Drosophila melanogaster: one gene and its partners. The protein of the gene in region 4 interacts with the protein of the main gene of each other region in a pairwise test. Each region holds a gene or a part of one and is shown on either strand. Other genes may lie near its edges. The genes, in order: Acam, CG15198, Syb and unc-13.

What was found.
Region 1: the proteins of unc-13 (region 4) and Acam interact in a two-hybrid assay, tested with the Drosophila melanogaster proteins (one large-scale study listed by BioGRID).
Region 2: the proteins of unc-13 (region 4) and CG15198 interact in a two-hybrid assay, tested with the Drosophila melanogaster proteins (one large-scale study listed by BioGRID).
Region 3: the proteins of unc-13 (region 4) and Syb interact in a two-hybrid assay, tested with the Drosophila melanogaster proteins (one large-scale study listed by BioGRID).

What each region holds. Positions count from the first base shown.
Region 1 is NT_033777.3:25,809,983-25,813,649, forward strand, and holds Acam (androcam), read left to right. Parts: upstream 1-1,928; 5' UTR 1,929-2,006; coding exon of another isoform or gene 2,007-2,501; 5' UTR 2,502-2,661; coding exon 2,662-3,108; 3' UTR 3,109-3,152; downstream 3,153-3,667. Other genes in the region: CG5024 (uncharacterized protein), read left to right, coding at 1,223-1,720; CG17770 (uncharacterized protein), read left to right, coding at 2,007-2,501. UniProt on the Drosophila melanogaster protein: May be involved in calcium-mediated signal transduction.
Region 2 is NC_004354.4:11,246,620-11,249,418, forward strand, and holds CG15198 (uncharacterized protein), read left to right. Parts: upstream 1-1,616; 5' UTR 1,617-1,789; coding exon 1,790-2,158; 3' UTR 2,159-2,266; downstream 2,267-2,799. Other genes in the region: CG44422 (uncharacterized protein), read right to left, coding at 128-848.
Region 3 is NT_033778.4:10,248,920-10,254,440, reverse strand, and holds Syb (synaptobrevin), read left to right. Parts: upstream 1-2,023; 5' UTR 2,024-2,159; intron 2,160-2,268; exon of another isoform or gene 2,269-2,366; intron 2,367-2,456; 5' UTR 2,457-2,466; coding exon 2,467-2,513; intron 2,514-3,227; coding exon 3,228-3,562; intron 3,563-3,854; coding exon of another isoform or gene 3,855-3,871; exon of another isoform or gene 3,872-4,072; intron 4,073-4,613; coding exon 4,614-4,690; 3' UTR 4,691-5,006; downstream 5,007-5,521. Other genes in the region: Csgalnact (chondroitin sulfate N-acetylgalactosaminyltransferase), read right to left, coding at 1-104, 165-301, 416-1,454; CG12914 (uncharacterized protein), read right to left, coding at 5,281-5,499. UniProt on the Drosophila melanogaster protein: Involved in the targeting and/or fusion of transport vesicles to their target membrane.
Region 4 is NC_004353.4:890,564-895,171, reverse strand, and holds the start of unc-13 (unc-13), read left to right. Parts: upstream 1-1,606; 5' UTR 1,607-1,667; intron 1,668-2,222; 5' UTR 2,223-2,278; intron 2,279-2,331; 5' UTR 2,332-2,375; coding exon 2,376-4,608.

The DNA of each region.
Region 1 (3,667 bases), on a different chromosome or scaffold from region 4:
CTACAGAAATGCAAATTATCCAAATCCCCCAAAGGTCTGTTGCCATTTCGATTGCGGCTCGGCTGTTGCTATATCGTCCTGTTTATGCCTGATTAAAGTCAAACAACAAACATATTCTGAGCTGCATTTACCAGACAATCGTATAAACATATACACATGTGGTCATCAGAATAGAATTTATTAGTTGGGAGATCTACAAATCTGCCAATTATTTTAAGCAAATTGTTTTTACTCTCCTTTAACGCAAACAACTTTTATTTATTTAGTTAGTAGCCCTAATTAATATATTACCTGCTAAGTAATACTTGGAACTATTGTTTTCCATACAAATATATAATCCCGCATCTCTGGCCCGAAAAGTCCTCTCTAATCTATGCAGAGAAATGCTTGACAGTGCCTTGTTGTGTGGCTCAACTTTGGCCCCAATCCTAAATCCTTTGTGTCCTTCGTGGCCAGGATTTGCTTCTCATTACCAAGAAGCCCCCATTGTTCGCTCCACTGGGAGGAGCACGTGTGAGAAAGGTTGATGGCCAGGGACATGGGTTTGTGCAGTTTGGTTCTCGCCTTCTCCGCTCCCAAATTATGCAAATTGCTCGAAATTTTGCATTGGATAATTTCCCTATTTGCCCGTAATGCTCAATAAAAAAAAAAAAAATACAAACACAAAAAACATTTTATGACCCAAGAGACCAACGATGGCAGCAAATGGCTGAGCAGAAAAAATACTGAACAGTTGTATAAATGCACCAACAAAAATAAAAATAATATAAAAACAGAACAAACTGCGACGCATTTAATTAAAAATGTAATTACCCATGCTTTTCAACAGCCACATTGCTCGAAGCGGTAGCCAGAGGCTATGAAAACATTATTCGGAAAATTGTTGCAAATTTAATTGTTAAATCCTGCTATATTTTACTGCGGTGTTACTGCATCACGGAGCAGTTGTAGTTTTTTCCATTTCACAAATTTATCTTACTGAAAATGAGTTTAAGAACCATGTCAGAAAAGAGCGTGGGGCAACTAACAAAAAAAAAATTTTAAAAAACTAACTAGTAATCTTTTGTTGTCAATGCCTTGAATTTTCCACAATTTCAGTCTAAATGGAAAACTGTCAATGAAAAGACAATATTTAAACACAACTATTTTCGAAAAACTAAATTTTAAAATTCATCTTTTCGGGAAATCCAAATTTTAGCCCAAGGTATACTTACAATTTGCCATGGATGACTTTGATTTCAGTAGTCCACCTCCGGAGGTACGAACAGTTCATACCCACACGCTGAATGATGAACAGCTCAAGGATTGTGAGGCGGCCTTCGCCCTCTTCGACGACGATAATGCCAAGGTCATTCCGATCAAGTTATTGAGAGATTGCCTGCGAGCCGTGGCCCACAACCCGCCGGAAAACGAGATACAGGATTATATAACCGAAATTGATACGGATGGATCCGGCGAGCTTTATCTCAGTGATTTCCTATACATCATGTCGAAACGGTACGAGAATTTGACCGTCGAAGATGAAGTTATCCTCGCTTTCAAAGTCTTCGACAAAGATGGATCTGGCTTTATACACGAGAATGAGTTCCGTCAGATAATGACTGAATATGGCGATGAAATGGAAGAGGACGAGATCGAGGAAATGATACGTGATGCCGACGCCAACACGGAACTGAAAATCGACTACGTTCGCTTTGTGACCATGATGATGGAGACGTAACACTCTCTTTGAAAAATAAAAAACATAACCGATTGTAGATCTAATCAATAAATTTCAAAAGCATGGCCAATGGAATCGAAGATCTTGAAATATCGGATACCACCAGTTTGGACTATTCTTTAAAAAAAAAAAAAAGCCAATATACAATAGATAAAATGATAACAAGAGTAGGCTTTTCTTGTTATTAAATTATAAATATGAAGTTGTGAACTAAAGTTTGTCGAAAATTTGTAGTGAGTGTTCAGTGACCCCAAAATTTTCCCACCCCCAACCCCTTCCTTTGGCCATGGATTTCGAATTCCTTACTCCGCCGCCAGAGGAACGGACCATTCGCACCCACAATCTGACCGAAGAACAGGTCAAGGATTTGGAGATTGCCTTTTCCCTGTTTGACGACCAAGACACTAAGGTTATTCCTATAACAAATCTCAGGCAACTAATGCTGTCTGTGGCCCACTATCCCAGTGATATGGAATTGCAGGAAATTCAGGCCGAGATCGATGCTGATGGATCCGGTGAGTTATATCTCAGCGATTTCCTTCACATCATGTCTCAGAGGTACGCAAACATGTCTACCGAGGATGAAATTATAGCTGCATTCAGAGTCTTTGACAAAGAAGGAACCGGCTTAATATCTGAATCGGAATTTCGTCACATAATGCAGAACATGGGGGAGCAATTGACGGATGATGAGGTGGAGGAGATCATCCGTGATGCAAATTCTGATTTGGAAGGCAATATAGACTATGTGCGATTTGTCAGAATGATGTCCACTACATAAGGAAAAAGCAGGCTTTAGGGGTTGGGAACCCGACCTGTCAGTATCAGTATCATCAAAACAGTTTCGGCTCATTCCCTTTCGTAAATTCCAACAGTCTATAGCTCTGCAAGCATTTAAAAATATCTCGATAAATACCGAAAATCTTTGAAAATTTATCAAGATGTCCGAACTAACGGAGGAGCAGATTGCCGAGTTCAAGGATGCCTTTGTCCAGTTCGACAAGGAGGGAACCGGCAAGATCGCCACCCGTGAGCTGGGCACATTGATGCGCACCTTGGGCCAGAATCCAACGGAGGCCGAGTTGCAAGATTTGATAGCTGAGGCCGAGAACAACAACAATGGCCAACTGAACTTCACTGAGTTCTGCGGTATAATGGCCAAGCAAATGCGGGAAACTGACACTGAGGAGGAAATGCGTGAGGCATTCAAGATTTTTGATCGTGATGGCGATGGCTTTATATCACCAGCTGAGCTTCGCTTTGTGATGATCAATCTGGGCGAAAAGGTCACCGACGAGGAGATCGATGAGATGATTCGCGAGGCTGATTTTGATGGGGATGGCATGATCAACTACGAGGAATTCGTATGGATGATAAGCCAGAAGTAGTACAGCTACTTTAAATGAAATAAAAATATTTGGGGTCACTGCATAAAAAAAATCGTGTATTTCTCTTCAAAAAATACAATTTACACTTCTCTGCGGTCTAACTATTTTCGAACACTTTTTAATACGCCCCCAATTATTTCAATTATATTTTTGCGGTGTGCTAGTTTTTCCTTTGCCTAATTCGGAGACCGAGAATTTTTCAAGCATGTCCTGCTCTTAAAAATGTTTGATGAAGGCACCCCATTTCGGTAATTGTGGTTGGTTTAAGGAATTTTCGCCTCGCCTTCTTCAGGTGAAAACTTTCAGCATGAAACACTCGACGTGGTTTTAGTCCGCCTTTTCGTTTCCCTGGCAAGTGGTTTTTGCTTCCACATGCGGCACCTTTGTGGCCAGACGAACAATTTTCCTGTTGCTTAAATTCAATTTGCTTATGCATTAAAATTAAATTTTACTGTGGCCTCAGCGGGCCCGGCTCGTACTCCTTGCTGGAAGCAACCTCTTGGGGTCTTTGGGGCTTGTGTCTGACTTTATAAATATTTCGTGTGTGTTGTGTACGCGC
Region 2 (2,799 bases), on a different chromosome or scaffold from region 4:
CACATATCTAAGTTTCGGGTTTCCCTCTTTCCTTACAAGAAATTATCTAGCTCAAAACTAGAAGCTTAGGAAAATGCATGAAATGCCCAAGTGGATGCAGTTGCTCCTCTTACAAAAGCTGCCTTACCATTCTGTGTGGTGCTGCCTTGGAAGAGGTTCCGCAGATACGTGATCAGCCGCCGGTGGAGCGGTCGATGCCGATGGCGCGATGATTTCCTATGCGAGGAGGAGGACTCCTGACCGCCACCGCCCTGCTCCACATCTTCCACGTCCAGGGTGGAGACAATCGCTGCCCCCGAGCCCGCTGCACCCGAACCCGGACCACTGGCCACCAGCTCCTTGCCGCACTGACTGGCGTCCACAATAATCTCGATGCTGCGTTGCGTGCTGGACTTTTTAATGCCCAATGCCGCCGTGGAGCAACTGCTGCCGGAGGGACCACCACCGCCACCGCCGGAGTTAATGGTGCTGATGAGGGCATCTGTGACACTGGATCCGGTGCCAGCGATGCTGCTCACCGTCTGGTGATGCATCTGCTGCTGCTGCTGGTGCTGCTGGACCGCTCGACCTGTGAGCAGGTGATGCTGGGCGCTCGAGGGCAGCTCGTTGACGGTGCCATTGCTGTGGCTTCCACGATAGATGAGCTCCGTTTCGTTGCTCACCTGGCGCAGGGCATGCAGTCCGGTGTGCGATGCACTGCTTGACATTCCGGCGGAGGATCCACCACCTGCGCCGCCGCCTCCAGCTCCTCCTCCTCCTCCGCCGCCGCCGCTGCCGGAACCACCATTTAGACCCGTGTAGTAGGCGCTATTCGGTCGCTGGCTGTGCTGCACCTGTGGCCCGGCCATAATGTTTCTCTCAGTGTATGTTATGTACTGCTGGAGCGGCTAGAGTTCCACCTCCTTCTGCTGCTCCTGTTCCTGCTCCCGATCCTCTCTAGCGGCTGGCTTTAATTGTCGCTGGCTGGTTTTAGTGGTTTTAGTAGCATATTGGACAGTTACATGGTTACGGCGGTCACTTTGTTAGGCAGATTGGGGTTAAGCGGTGCCGCATCTGCGAGAAGCGAGTAAAATCGAGCAGAATATATATGTTAGTTCCGATACTAAGGCATTTAGGTCTCTAAACCGATCAATTTCTTTAATTTAATTTCATTTGGGAATTAATTAGTTTCCCAAAAACAGTACAAACAAACTGTACCAAATGCTTTCGAAGCTGGGTACTTTATCGTGTTCCCATATTATTTTCTAATTATCTTAATTTGATCGGAATAGAGTAAATAACAAAGAAAACTATTTCCAGGAATTTCCATTTATTCCATTTGCCAGCAGCGTTGCATTGTTAGTATGCGTGCATGCGTATGTGTGTGCGTGTGTGTGCGTATGTGAATTATAAAGCTGTTGTAAGCGCACTTGTTAGCCCATTTTAATCCTATTTACTAAATGATACACTAAACTAGACAATTGCCTTCTCAGTAAATTGCGGCTAACTAAGTTGCCAATGCACATCGATTGAGATGCTAACGCACATTGTAACCTATTAAATTTATGCAAAATATTACAACTAAATTAAACATTTGTTATCCCAAGTAAGTAGGCCTCGCAATGAAACTCGCATAGATAAAACCATCCGTGTGGTTGACTTTTGTTCAGTATTGGGGCAAACCTTACACCGAACAGTTCGGAAAACTAGCCAAAAAAAAAAAAATTCAAAATTTTTCCGTGTGAATAACTCCGTGTTTTTCCACATTTTCTACCTTTGCCGTTTAAACGTTGCTGCGCTCACCATCACCATGAAAACCCTCGAGTCCGACGACAAACCCTTCAATCCCTTCTACATTGGCCCACATCCCAGCAAGGCGTGTGCCATTCCCGAGATTCCCGGCCAGCAATGCTCACCCAACTGTCAGCCAACTACTACGACCACCAATGGTTCTCCAACGGATGCAACGGATCCCAACAGTTTGCCCAGCGGAGCTGCGGGCGGCATGGTAATCGTGGCCAACATATATAGCACCGTCGAGGTCCTGGCCGCCGCCGCTCGTATGGGCGGAGCAGCGGGCACTGGAGGGGATCAGGGTGCGTCGTCTTCCAACAACACCACATGCAAGCCGTATCCCTGCATGGAGGGCGCTCGCATCGATGGTCCTGGCTGTGGTTAGAACCAGAGGAAGTTCACATTGGATCAGAAAGCTTTATCTACCAACTGGCTATTTGAATAGGCTAACTCGCAACACCAAGCTAGCCCCAAATACAAAAATAAAAGGCCCAGAAAAATAATCCATTCGTATTTTTTCTATAGTCTGTCGAAAAATGATCAGTCTTTTTCCTACAGCAATGTAAATAGTTGTCCAAATATGGAATGCCATACCTCGTTGAACTCGTCATAAAATTGTCTTTCGAATGGCATTCACAGTTAAAAATGTAATTTTTTTTCAATTTTTCGCAAAAAATGATGATGTTACCCCTTATAAAAAATCTGAAAATTTGAAAAAAATCAATTTTTTCAAATTAACAAAACGGTTACAGAAATCGTTTATTTGGATCATTAGCTGTATAAAACAGTAATTTTTTTGAATAAGTGACCATTTTTGGCCAAGTTATAGCAAACTGAATTCTTCGAAAAAATCATCATTTTGCCAAAATGAAACACCAATTTTTCAACAAAATATAATCATTATTTTGTTCATAGCAATAAAGTTATTTATCCAAACATGGAATGCCATACCTCGTTGAACTCGTCATAAAATTGTCTTTCGAATGGCATTCACAGTTAAAAATGTAATTTTTTTTCAATTTTTCG
Region 3 (5,521 bases), on a different chromosome or scaffold from region 4:
TCCCTCGATATCACCAGTTGCTCCTCTTCGCTGGGCAAGGGCTTGCCCTGCAGTGAGTACACCACATGCGGATTGTACAGGCTAAATACGACGGGGTAGTAGACCTAAGCGTTGAAAATAGATGTTAATGTATTAGTAATTTAAATAATAGCAGATATATTTACCTTCTTTCCAGGCGCTGCATTCCAGCGACAACGCTCCAGGAACTTGGTCGTGAACATAATGTCCACGTCGCACATGAAGAGCAGCACGTCCTCCTCAGCGGGTTGAATGTGCTCCGCTCCCAGTCTTAAAGCTTTGGCTATAAGCAAAATGGCTATTATTAACTACCAATATTATTTGTAATGCATTATAAACTTGCATATGTATTATGAACGAAACAAATGTAATATTAATAAACGAAACCCGTGCTTACCCCTACTGAAAGTCTCATTGAGTGCCAAAAACTGAGTCCTTTGGGATCGTCCAGCCAGGCTCCTAGCTTGCTCCAATCCACTGGTTCCAAAGTACACCACAATAAGCTCCAGGCGACGATCCTCTAGCTTGGCGAACATCTGCAGGAAGCCGCGAAAGCTGTGCAGACGTCCAGCCAGCGGTAGTATCACGTGGATTATGGGCGGACTATGACTTGGAGGGGCACCACTATTATCCACACTGGAAGATAGCTCCGATAGCTGCACCGTTTGCAGAGGAGCAAATGGTCGCATGACCAGGGCTCTCCGCACTGGACTCGCCTGGTGCTTGACACTCTGGAAGTACAGCTCGTACTGGGTGCCTGTGGTGGGTTCGTTGCGGTATATGCCCTCGATAAAGTCATCCAGGGTGTATTTGATCACATCCGAGGCGTAAGCCGCTGCAGAACCAGCTCCCTTGGCTCGTATTCTCGCTGAGTGATTCCTGTTCAGGCTCTCCAGCGCCTTGTTTACCGCCTCGATGAGGTCACGTCGTCGATAACCGATGGGCTTCTCCACCACGCGCTTTCCCAGGCCCAAGTCGATGGGATATACTCGCGTGAAGGTGAAGTGATTGTAGGGTATCAGCTCGTACTCGTTGTTCAGCGGCAGTCCATGCAGAATTTCTGCGGCGCCCACCTGCTTGCGAATATAGCTGCTGCAGTCGTAATGGTGACCCAGTGGTGCAGTTGGTGGCCCCGCGGTGGTTTCTTGCAATTGAAGACTGCCATTTGATGGCTTGGCAGTGCTGCGATTATTCTGTAGAAAGAGGATTTGAGTGCGGAGAGCCAGGACTTCCTGTTTCAGCCGCTCAATTTCCGCCTCTCGTTCGCTTAAGGTGTAACTGAATCCGCTGGATTCACTCGGATTATTGGCTTGAGTTTCCCTCGTCGTCAGTTCATCGAATCCGCACTTTGTGAGCACCACAATGGAGGCGCCGGTCAACAAGGCGAAGAGCAGCAAAAGCCGCAGCAGCAACTTGGTCACCAGGGAGTTATGCATTTTCCATAGTTTCTTACAAAATTTTCAACCTATTGAAAATAATAAAATAATTAGTTATCTAAGTGCAATAGTAAAATGCAAACACACATTTGAGACTGTAAAAAAAACTAGTAACGAATTATCACAAATTTTATACATTGCTGTGGAATTCTACATTTTTATTACATATTATACATGTACATGGCTCGGTAGAACAGTTTATTGGTTTTTGTCTCTGCTATTTAGGCAACAGTGCGTTATTAATAATTTTCGCTGATCTTTTGTAAAAGTATTAAAGATAAATCAGTTAAGAGCAAACAAAAATTTCATTTTGGCTTGCGGCACTGGTAATTTAAGTAATAAAATAAGATACAATAATATAAGACATTGATTTGAAATCAAACATCATCTGCAAGGAACTAAAGAAAAATGGAATGCAAGTGCTTGTTAACAATAATTTGTGCGCCGATACACATACTAAATATACCAATTCATGTTTTTTATAAGCTAGATAAGTATTATCTTTTTATATTTGCAAGGGGTTTTCAGGAAACATCGATAGTATCGATAAGGTATCGGGCTTGGTTCCAGCTCTAATAGTTCAACGGTCACACTGATCACAAGCTGATATTTCTATAAAAAAAAATAGTGCTATTTAAAAAGCAGCCGCAGTTTTCCGTGGAAAACCCGAAATACACAGCAGTATTCTACAGGCACATTGTCAAGGTGAGTGCTCGGGGGTGGTGGGTGGTTGGGGGTGGCGTTCCACCCATGTAAACAGCGTTTGTTGGCAGTGCGGCATGCAACAAGTTCTTTTTTCGAGCAAAGGTGATGGCATTCCTATAAATCGAGTGATTCATAGGCCGAATAGATAAGGCGTGTGCTGCGTTTTGTTTTCTTTTCTTTTCGGCCCTGTAATCTAAACAATTTCGGGTGTGTGTGTGTGATGGAACATGCATTCTCCCCATTTAAAGAACCAGACATCCAATAAAGGCCTTTCTCTGCTTCGCTTTCTTTCCGCAGCAAATTCACAATGGAGAACAACGAAGCCCCCTCCCCCTCGGGATCCAACAACAACGAGTAAGTGGTGGAAATCCATCGAATCAACAGGCTCAGCGCACAAAAGCAAGGAAAATCCCATACAGTGACGTCACCTGAGTCATATGGGCCACAGCGAACCGGAAGTAAAGTCTTCGGACTTCACTTTCGGACATTGGAATACCGTAAACGTCATGCTGCTGCCCAAGCGGTAGCTTCAGTTGTAGTTTGAAATCAATTAGGGTCATTAAAAGCATTCAGTTAAGTTGAGATATTGTAAAGTCAGTTGCTATCTTAGATGGAATATTAATGTGAAATGGCAAATTAACTCGAATAACAAAAAAGTATTAATTATATTCGATTCTAAATTGTAAAACATTTGCAAGTAGCTTATAATCAGAAACAGAATTTGCTTATTAATCACTTTATCGCAAATGGTAACTGAACATACTTAAGTATGTTTCATTTAACATCTATGAAAAACAAATGAATATTACTCATTTTATATTTTTTTTTGTCAATGGAATTTCAACAGCACTTGAGATTGTGAAGTTTTATTAGTCTATCCGAATTTAAGAAGAAAGAAAGTATTTATAGGACACAAGTCCCATTATTAAAACGTGAAAGGTGAATTGGCATAGATAACGATGGCATGATATACCAAGACTCGTGCTTTTGTGCGTTGCAGCTTGATGATCCATCTGCTGCTCTTAATAAGTGTAAGCAACCCCCACAAACACACATAATATTGTACAGTTTTCCCATACTTCCGCCACCGCCGAACGCGAATGACAACTACAATCAATTCGGTGACCATCAAATCAGGAACAACAATGCAGCCCAGAAGAAGCTGCAGCAGACCCAAGCCAAGGTGGACGAGGTGGTCGGGATTATGCGTGTGAACGTGGAGAAGGTCCTGGAGCGGGACCAGAAGCTATCGGAACTGGGCGAGCGTGCGGATCAGCTGGAGCAGGGAGCATCCCAGTTCGAGCAGCAGGCCGGCAAGCTGAAGCGCAAGCAATGGTGGGCCAACATGAAGATGATGATCATTCTGGGCGTGATAGCCGTTGTGCTGCTCATCATCGTTCTGGGTAAGCTAACCGATTTTATACCGCTTCGGCTTTTTGCCTCTTGCTGGTGCTTCTTTCTGGTTGCGGTTTTTCTCGATCAGGCTAAAGATCAGTAGTGTAGCTAGGTGGCTGGTTTGGTTTGGTATTGTTATATCTATAACGCAAGTCGACGCCCTGCAAACGCCCTAATCTTGCTCAACCTGTGGTTTCGGTCCTAACAACTTGTCCATGTGGCTTGCAGCTAACTAATCCAATAACAGATACTCCTACTCGTACTGATGACAACCCCTTGTGAATTTCTGTTTACTTGCAGTGTCGCTTTTCAATTGATACAATTAAACACACACTCACAGAAAAACAAAAGCAAAGCCAACAAAAATCATGTAATTCCGTTTCCCAATCAGCAAAGTTAAGGTTCAGATTAATCGTTTAACACGTTTGTGTACGTGTACTGGCTCCTACTATATACTCCTTAAATTGTTTATTATATTTTATAAAAGTCTTAAGCTAAGCAACTCTAAAGCTCTAAAGGTAATTGTTGTTCTTGTGCCTGTCCTAAGTGTTAATTATCGTTATATTTGTTTAGTCTGTAGTGTGCGAAGATTAGAACCTCCATGTCATACGTGTGTAGACTATAAAGTTCATACATATGTATATAGCTTCAGCAAAGCTATTAAGAAGTTAAAAATGGTTATATCTACAGTGCAATGTTGGGGCTAGGGCTCTGTTCTATGGAGAAATTTCATTTTAAAAAGTCATTTCGATTTTATTCAAATTAAACTCGCGTAAAAAGTATTAAATAAGAATGACAATACGAAATCCGTGCTGACATCGAAAGGTATGTAAGATAGTAAGCGGGAAGATAAAATCTGACTTTAAAAGTTGTTAATTAATAAATAACTGAAGAAATCTTTCGTCAACAAAACGCTCAGTACAATGTGCTGGGTGGTTAGAACTTTTACTTAAAAAGACCGCGATTTCATTTAAATGCGAGATAGGATATGAAATCCTTTTCATATCTCGTTGAATTGATATAAACATAGCTCTAATATCTGCGTATTTCCCTTTTTAGTGTCCGTTTGGCCGTCTAGTAGTGACAGCGGCAGTGGTGGAGGAAACAAGGCCATCACCCAAGCACCGCCGCACTAAAGGCCTCCTAGGGAGTGAGGTAAACACATGGATACGAAATGGAAAAGGACCAAACAAACACAACTGGGACGGAAACCTTTCTGGTCTTTTCGCGCAATGAGAGAAGGGGAGATGAAGAAAATCAAAAGGATAACTTACTAAAATTGCGTCTAGCATATATTTAACCAGAATGTAATTATTAAATCTTAATGTTAAACTTAACATTTTTACGTGTCGTAGCCGAGACCAGAGGTCCCATTAATGTGTATTGCATTATATACAATTATATATACGTGTATATCATCCAATTGAAAATACATCATGCCACCTACACTTTAACCGGACCCATCAAGTCCACCGAAGTTTTATGGAAACGTTTCGCGGACAGAGCCATTTATTTACATTCAGCGTTTTTGCTTAAGATGCGCGTGCCATGGAAACAGTTATCGATTTTCCGGCAAACCGAATCGAAACAAGACGACAGCAGTCGCGGGCACCCAGACAAACTTGCCCCATCGACATCGAGGCACTGACCAATTGCCGCAGGAACTGAATCGTCTCGCATAAACATTCTGTCCCAGCTGTTCCGATAGTCCACGCATGCGTTCCACTCATTCGATGTTCTTCCGATAGAACAGGTACACGAATATATCATGAATGTCCGCGCGCCATCCCATCAATTCTATAAACGAGGCTGTCGTCCACACATAGCCCATATATAGGGCAAAAAAGTTGAGGTAGTACAGCTGGCCGATCAGTATGTAGTCCCCGGTCGACTCCTGGCGGTAGAAGTTCGGCTTTCGCATGGAAGCGCCAAAGACTATGACAAACTGTGGGCAAAATTGGAGGAAT
Region 4 (4,608 bases):
AGCTTCGAAAAATTTAATTGGAAAACATATAGTACACTGCGTCGCAGAATGAAGGAAGTTGACATCAACTCCTATGAAAAACGTCTCTCATTTGCCTTGGAGTATAAAGAGAAGCCTATCGAGTTCTGGTTTGATGTTTTATGGACTGATGAAATTGGGTTTCAGTTTCAGAGATCCTTTAGCAAGAAATTTATGCATTTCCCAAAAAAACTAAAGGTTGAATGCCGTCCAGCTAATCAATCGATTTGGTGGTGGCACGGTGATGTTCTGGGGCTGTTTAAGCTACTTTGGATTTGGAGACATGGTACCGATAGAGGGTACAATAAATCAAACAGGATACCTCCATATCTTAAATGAGCACGCATTCACCTCAGGAAATAGACTGTTCTCCACGAAAAAAAAACGCAAAAAACAATTAAAAAAGCTGTATGTAAATAATTTTGACGCGTAAAAATTGTGTGTAAATACTTTTGACAACAGACAAGGATCAGTTCAATGCTTCTATTTTTAAACCCTAAACAGTTATTTTTTCCACTTCTTCTTTCGTTGGGTAAAAAGCTGTTTTGGCTGCCTAACAATTTTTTAACGAAAATGTATTGACGAATTTAAGGAATTTTAAAGTATATACAGCTTTAAGGGTTTTACGAAAAGTGGTATTGTCTGTCAAGCACTTAAACATAAATAAATGCATACTAGGATTGAGCAGACAGACAAAAAAAAAAACAAAATTTTCATATTAACAAATTCGCCAAAAACATAATTTTTCTCCTGAATATAATTTTTTTAAGTATTGGTTGTTTTTTTCGTTGCCTTTCCTTTACTAGTATTTTTATTTCTTTGCTTCGCCAGTACGCTTATCGTCCACCCTGACCTATTGCTAATTGATAACCACCATATATTTTATAAACACAAATCTAACAAATTTAGGATTTTGTAACGGTATAAATAAGACACCGCCGTTTTATCTTAGAAATTTCATATCTGTTTCAATGAATGGCAACATTAACTCAAAACTTTTAAACAATTCATGTAACGACCGCAAATTGATGCTCGATAAATAACGGAAACAGTTCCTCGCATTTCTTGAGCAATGGGCATGTCACAGTCAAAACTTTCGACTAAAGCTTTCAAAATTGTTCTTAAATATTTAATGTTTGTCATTTCCTTTTTAAGGGAATTCCATTGGACTTGATCTTGAGACAATTCTGACATAACGCAATGTATTGCCCCTGAAAATTATTCAAAATTGATTAGGGAGTACGACTAAAGCTTTTAATTTGAATGGTCTTAATTTGACATATTTCGAGGCAACTCTTAACAAAATCGTTCGATGTAATTATTCTGAAAACCTGTTAACCGTTTACGAATTGTAAACGGTTAATAAATGGTCTTAGATGTGACATTATAAAAAAAGGAGTAAGTTCAGTTTATTACAAAAACTTTAAGAGCGTTTGACAGAGAATGGTTAAGGCATGCGCAATAGATAGAAAAATATTCTCTTACATTTTTCCCGTCTTACCCACACTTGACTTTTTTCTGTATACATAAGCTTTTCAATGGTGTACTAAAAACTAAAGTTCTAAGTGTGTAACTGTCATCCGCGCAAAGCTTACTTGCTGGTAGCTTCATGAAAACGGAGCTAGGCGCAACAAAGAATTTACTAAATTGTACTGTGAATTTCAACGTTTTTTTAATTCTTAGCAGAGCACAAATAATTGTTCGTAGTGGTTTCAAACCGTTTACATTAAGAAAGCCAGATAAAAAAGCTTAGGCCTTTTAGTTAAAAATTGCATATACATAATTTTGTGCACAGAAAGACTATAAAACAGTTTTGTTTTTATAAAAAAGAAAAAAAGCTGGAATCGCTCTTAAGCCCAGATACCAAATAATTAATAAACGCATCCATTTTAGGATCCCCTTTACAGTACATACAAGCATAATTGAAAAACCTACCAATATTAAACCACATTTGGTACTAGTTAATTAATTGCACAAGTTTTTTAGTTGAAGTAAATTTCAAACAGACACATGTGTATTTTGTTACAACTAATATAGGTCATATTTAAAAAGCATTTTTATTTACTTTGAGTGTGCTTAGAAGTGAAATTAAGACCGGGTTTTATCTAAATACGTTTTGAAATACACATACATACATAGTACAAGAACCTAATTTTAATAGTTATGTGTATTTTTTTTGTCGTCAACCACTTAACGCTGTTTAGGTACATATGTATATAACAATTCAGTATTACAGACGAAATTGGCTTTTGAAATAAACGTATGTATTCCACACAGAGCATTAAAACACATTTTAAAAACAAAATTATTTAGGTAAAAACAAAACTAATCCATCGAATAAAACCCTAATTAACGGTATGATGAACACATCTCAGCTGCAAGTGACCGGGGATACGGAAAAAAAAAGTCAGTTGCTTAAAAAGGAACTCAAAATAAACACCCAGGAAAAGCTTATCTTTGCAGAAAATGCCCTCAAAAGCCAGATTAAAATAAAGGAGCAGTTACGACTTCAGCAACAATCAACGATTTATGCGTCGTCACTATTGAGCTCTTCTGCTGCCGGATCAGTAAGAGCTCCGCTCTTAAGCCAGGGGCACCTTAATTCTATCCAACACAACATGGATTTTGACCTTGCCAAAGCACAAATACCGGAAATGCAACCACCGATGAGTAAGTCGCCCAATGGATTGGATTTCTCTTACTTAAGTTATCCAAGCATAAATACTAATGAAAGTATGATATCGATTAAAAGTGAACAACAGTTGTGTCAGAGCTACAATTCGGAGCAACACTCTGACTACATTATCTCCGATTATATGGATAAAATTGCAACAAGGATCAGTTTACTCGAGACAGAGCTGAAGTTTGCTTGGCGTGCATTGGATTTGCTTTCTACGGAGTACGGAAAGATTTGGATTCGTTTGGAAAAGCTTGAAAACATATCAATAGAACAACAGTCTGTCGTTGGCAACCTTGTGGATCTTATCGGCGCATCAAAAAAAGAACTTCAAAAAGTGGATATCGAAAGAATGAAAGTACCCTTATATCAAGATGAAGATCAATTGCTACCGTTGGAAATGGAAGACACATTAGATATAGATATCCAATCATCTAATCGTGACTTTGATAAGAATCTTACTTTTGAAAATCATGAAAAAACTTTTGTAACAAAACATACGCAAGCTACTAAATCGGAAGACCTTATGAATTCCGCTTACGCAATAGATTCCCATCCAAATTTTGAAAACATTGATTTCAATGGCAAAAACTTAGACATTGGGATAATAAAATTTGGTTTTGAAAAAGGCTACGAGCCAAAACAAAAAGGTAATCAATCGGATTTTGAAGCATACAAGGAATCAAGAACTAAACTTTACTCAGATTCTGACCTTATGTTATATGAGAGGCAGCAGTTTCTAGCAAATAGCGCGCGTGCCGAATTAATGAAAGAATTTTTAAATGGACGTCGAGTTTTAAATGAGATTTCGGCATCCTCGGGTGCATTGTCAAAAAGTTCTGAGAAGGATAAAAATCTTGTAAAGCCTAGAGAACCACTGTTAAGTGAGATAGATGATACATACGTGAGACGGTCAACCTGTGAACTTGTCAGCCCTAGTAGTAATAATTTTTTTCAAATAGCAGCCTCTAAAACAGGCGAGGGTGGAAATCAGGTTTTACCCATTGAAGACACTGGAGGAACAGAAAGTCCAGCTAATATTAATGAAGTAGACGAATCTTTTTATAAAAATCTAAACGAGGCTTATCGAGACAATGAATTGAGCTCTGAGATATTTAAGGTTGATGCATTGCTACATCAGTCTGAGGCCACACATGACCACATCTCATTTATCCGAAACCAGTCAACTTCTTCCCCAGTTTTAAATAATCAGAGGGTGAATGCTATTACAGGTACACAACCTTTACAGACTGCAAAGGCGTGTCTCGTAACAGAGCCAAACCAACATTTGAACAAAGAACCAAGAAAGCACAGAAAAAAAAAACATCATACAAACGAAATGGATATGATTAATAAACTAAAGTGTATCCTTGCACAAGCACAATCAACAGAGATTATTAAGAGAGACATTGAAGAATTGGGTTCGAAACTTTCAGATGCATGTGTAAAACAAACTGAAACGGAAAATAAATCAGACAACCATATTAGTACCAGTTATTTAAAAGATGATATACGAAAAATGTTAAACAACGTAATACAGACTTTATTGGGGGAAATAAATAAAATTAAAGGGTTACAATCATTGAGTGCAACGCAATTGAGTCAGTTACAAAATGCCGTATGGTCGGAAGAAAGGTTTTTTCAAAAAATTAGTCTGGTCGATAAAAAGTTGACTTTGCTGTTACTTAATCCGTTAACTGTTACTGAAGAACTGCAAAGGCTTTGCATTTCAAACACAAATGAAAAGTTTGTTCTGGTAATAAAAAAGTTAAAAAAAAATATTGACACTCTAAAAAAATTAGTTGGCAGCTCATTGGATGACTTTAAAATAGATAATTCACACGCAAATATGACCACATTTCACAGCCTTAATCCATCCCATAATTCTAATGATAGCAGTTTTAGTGCACATT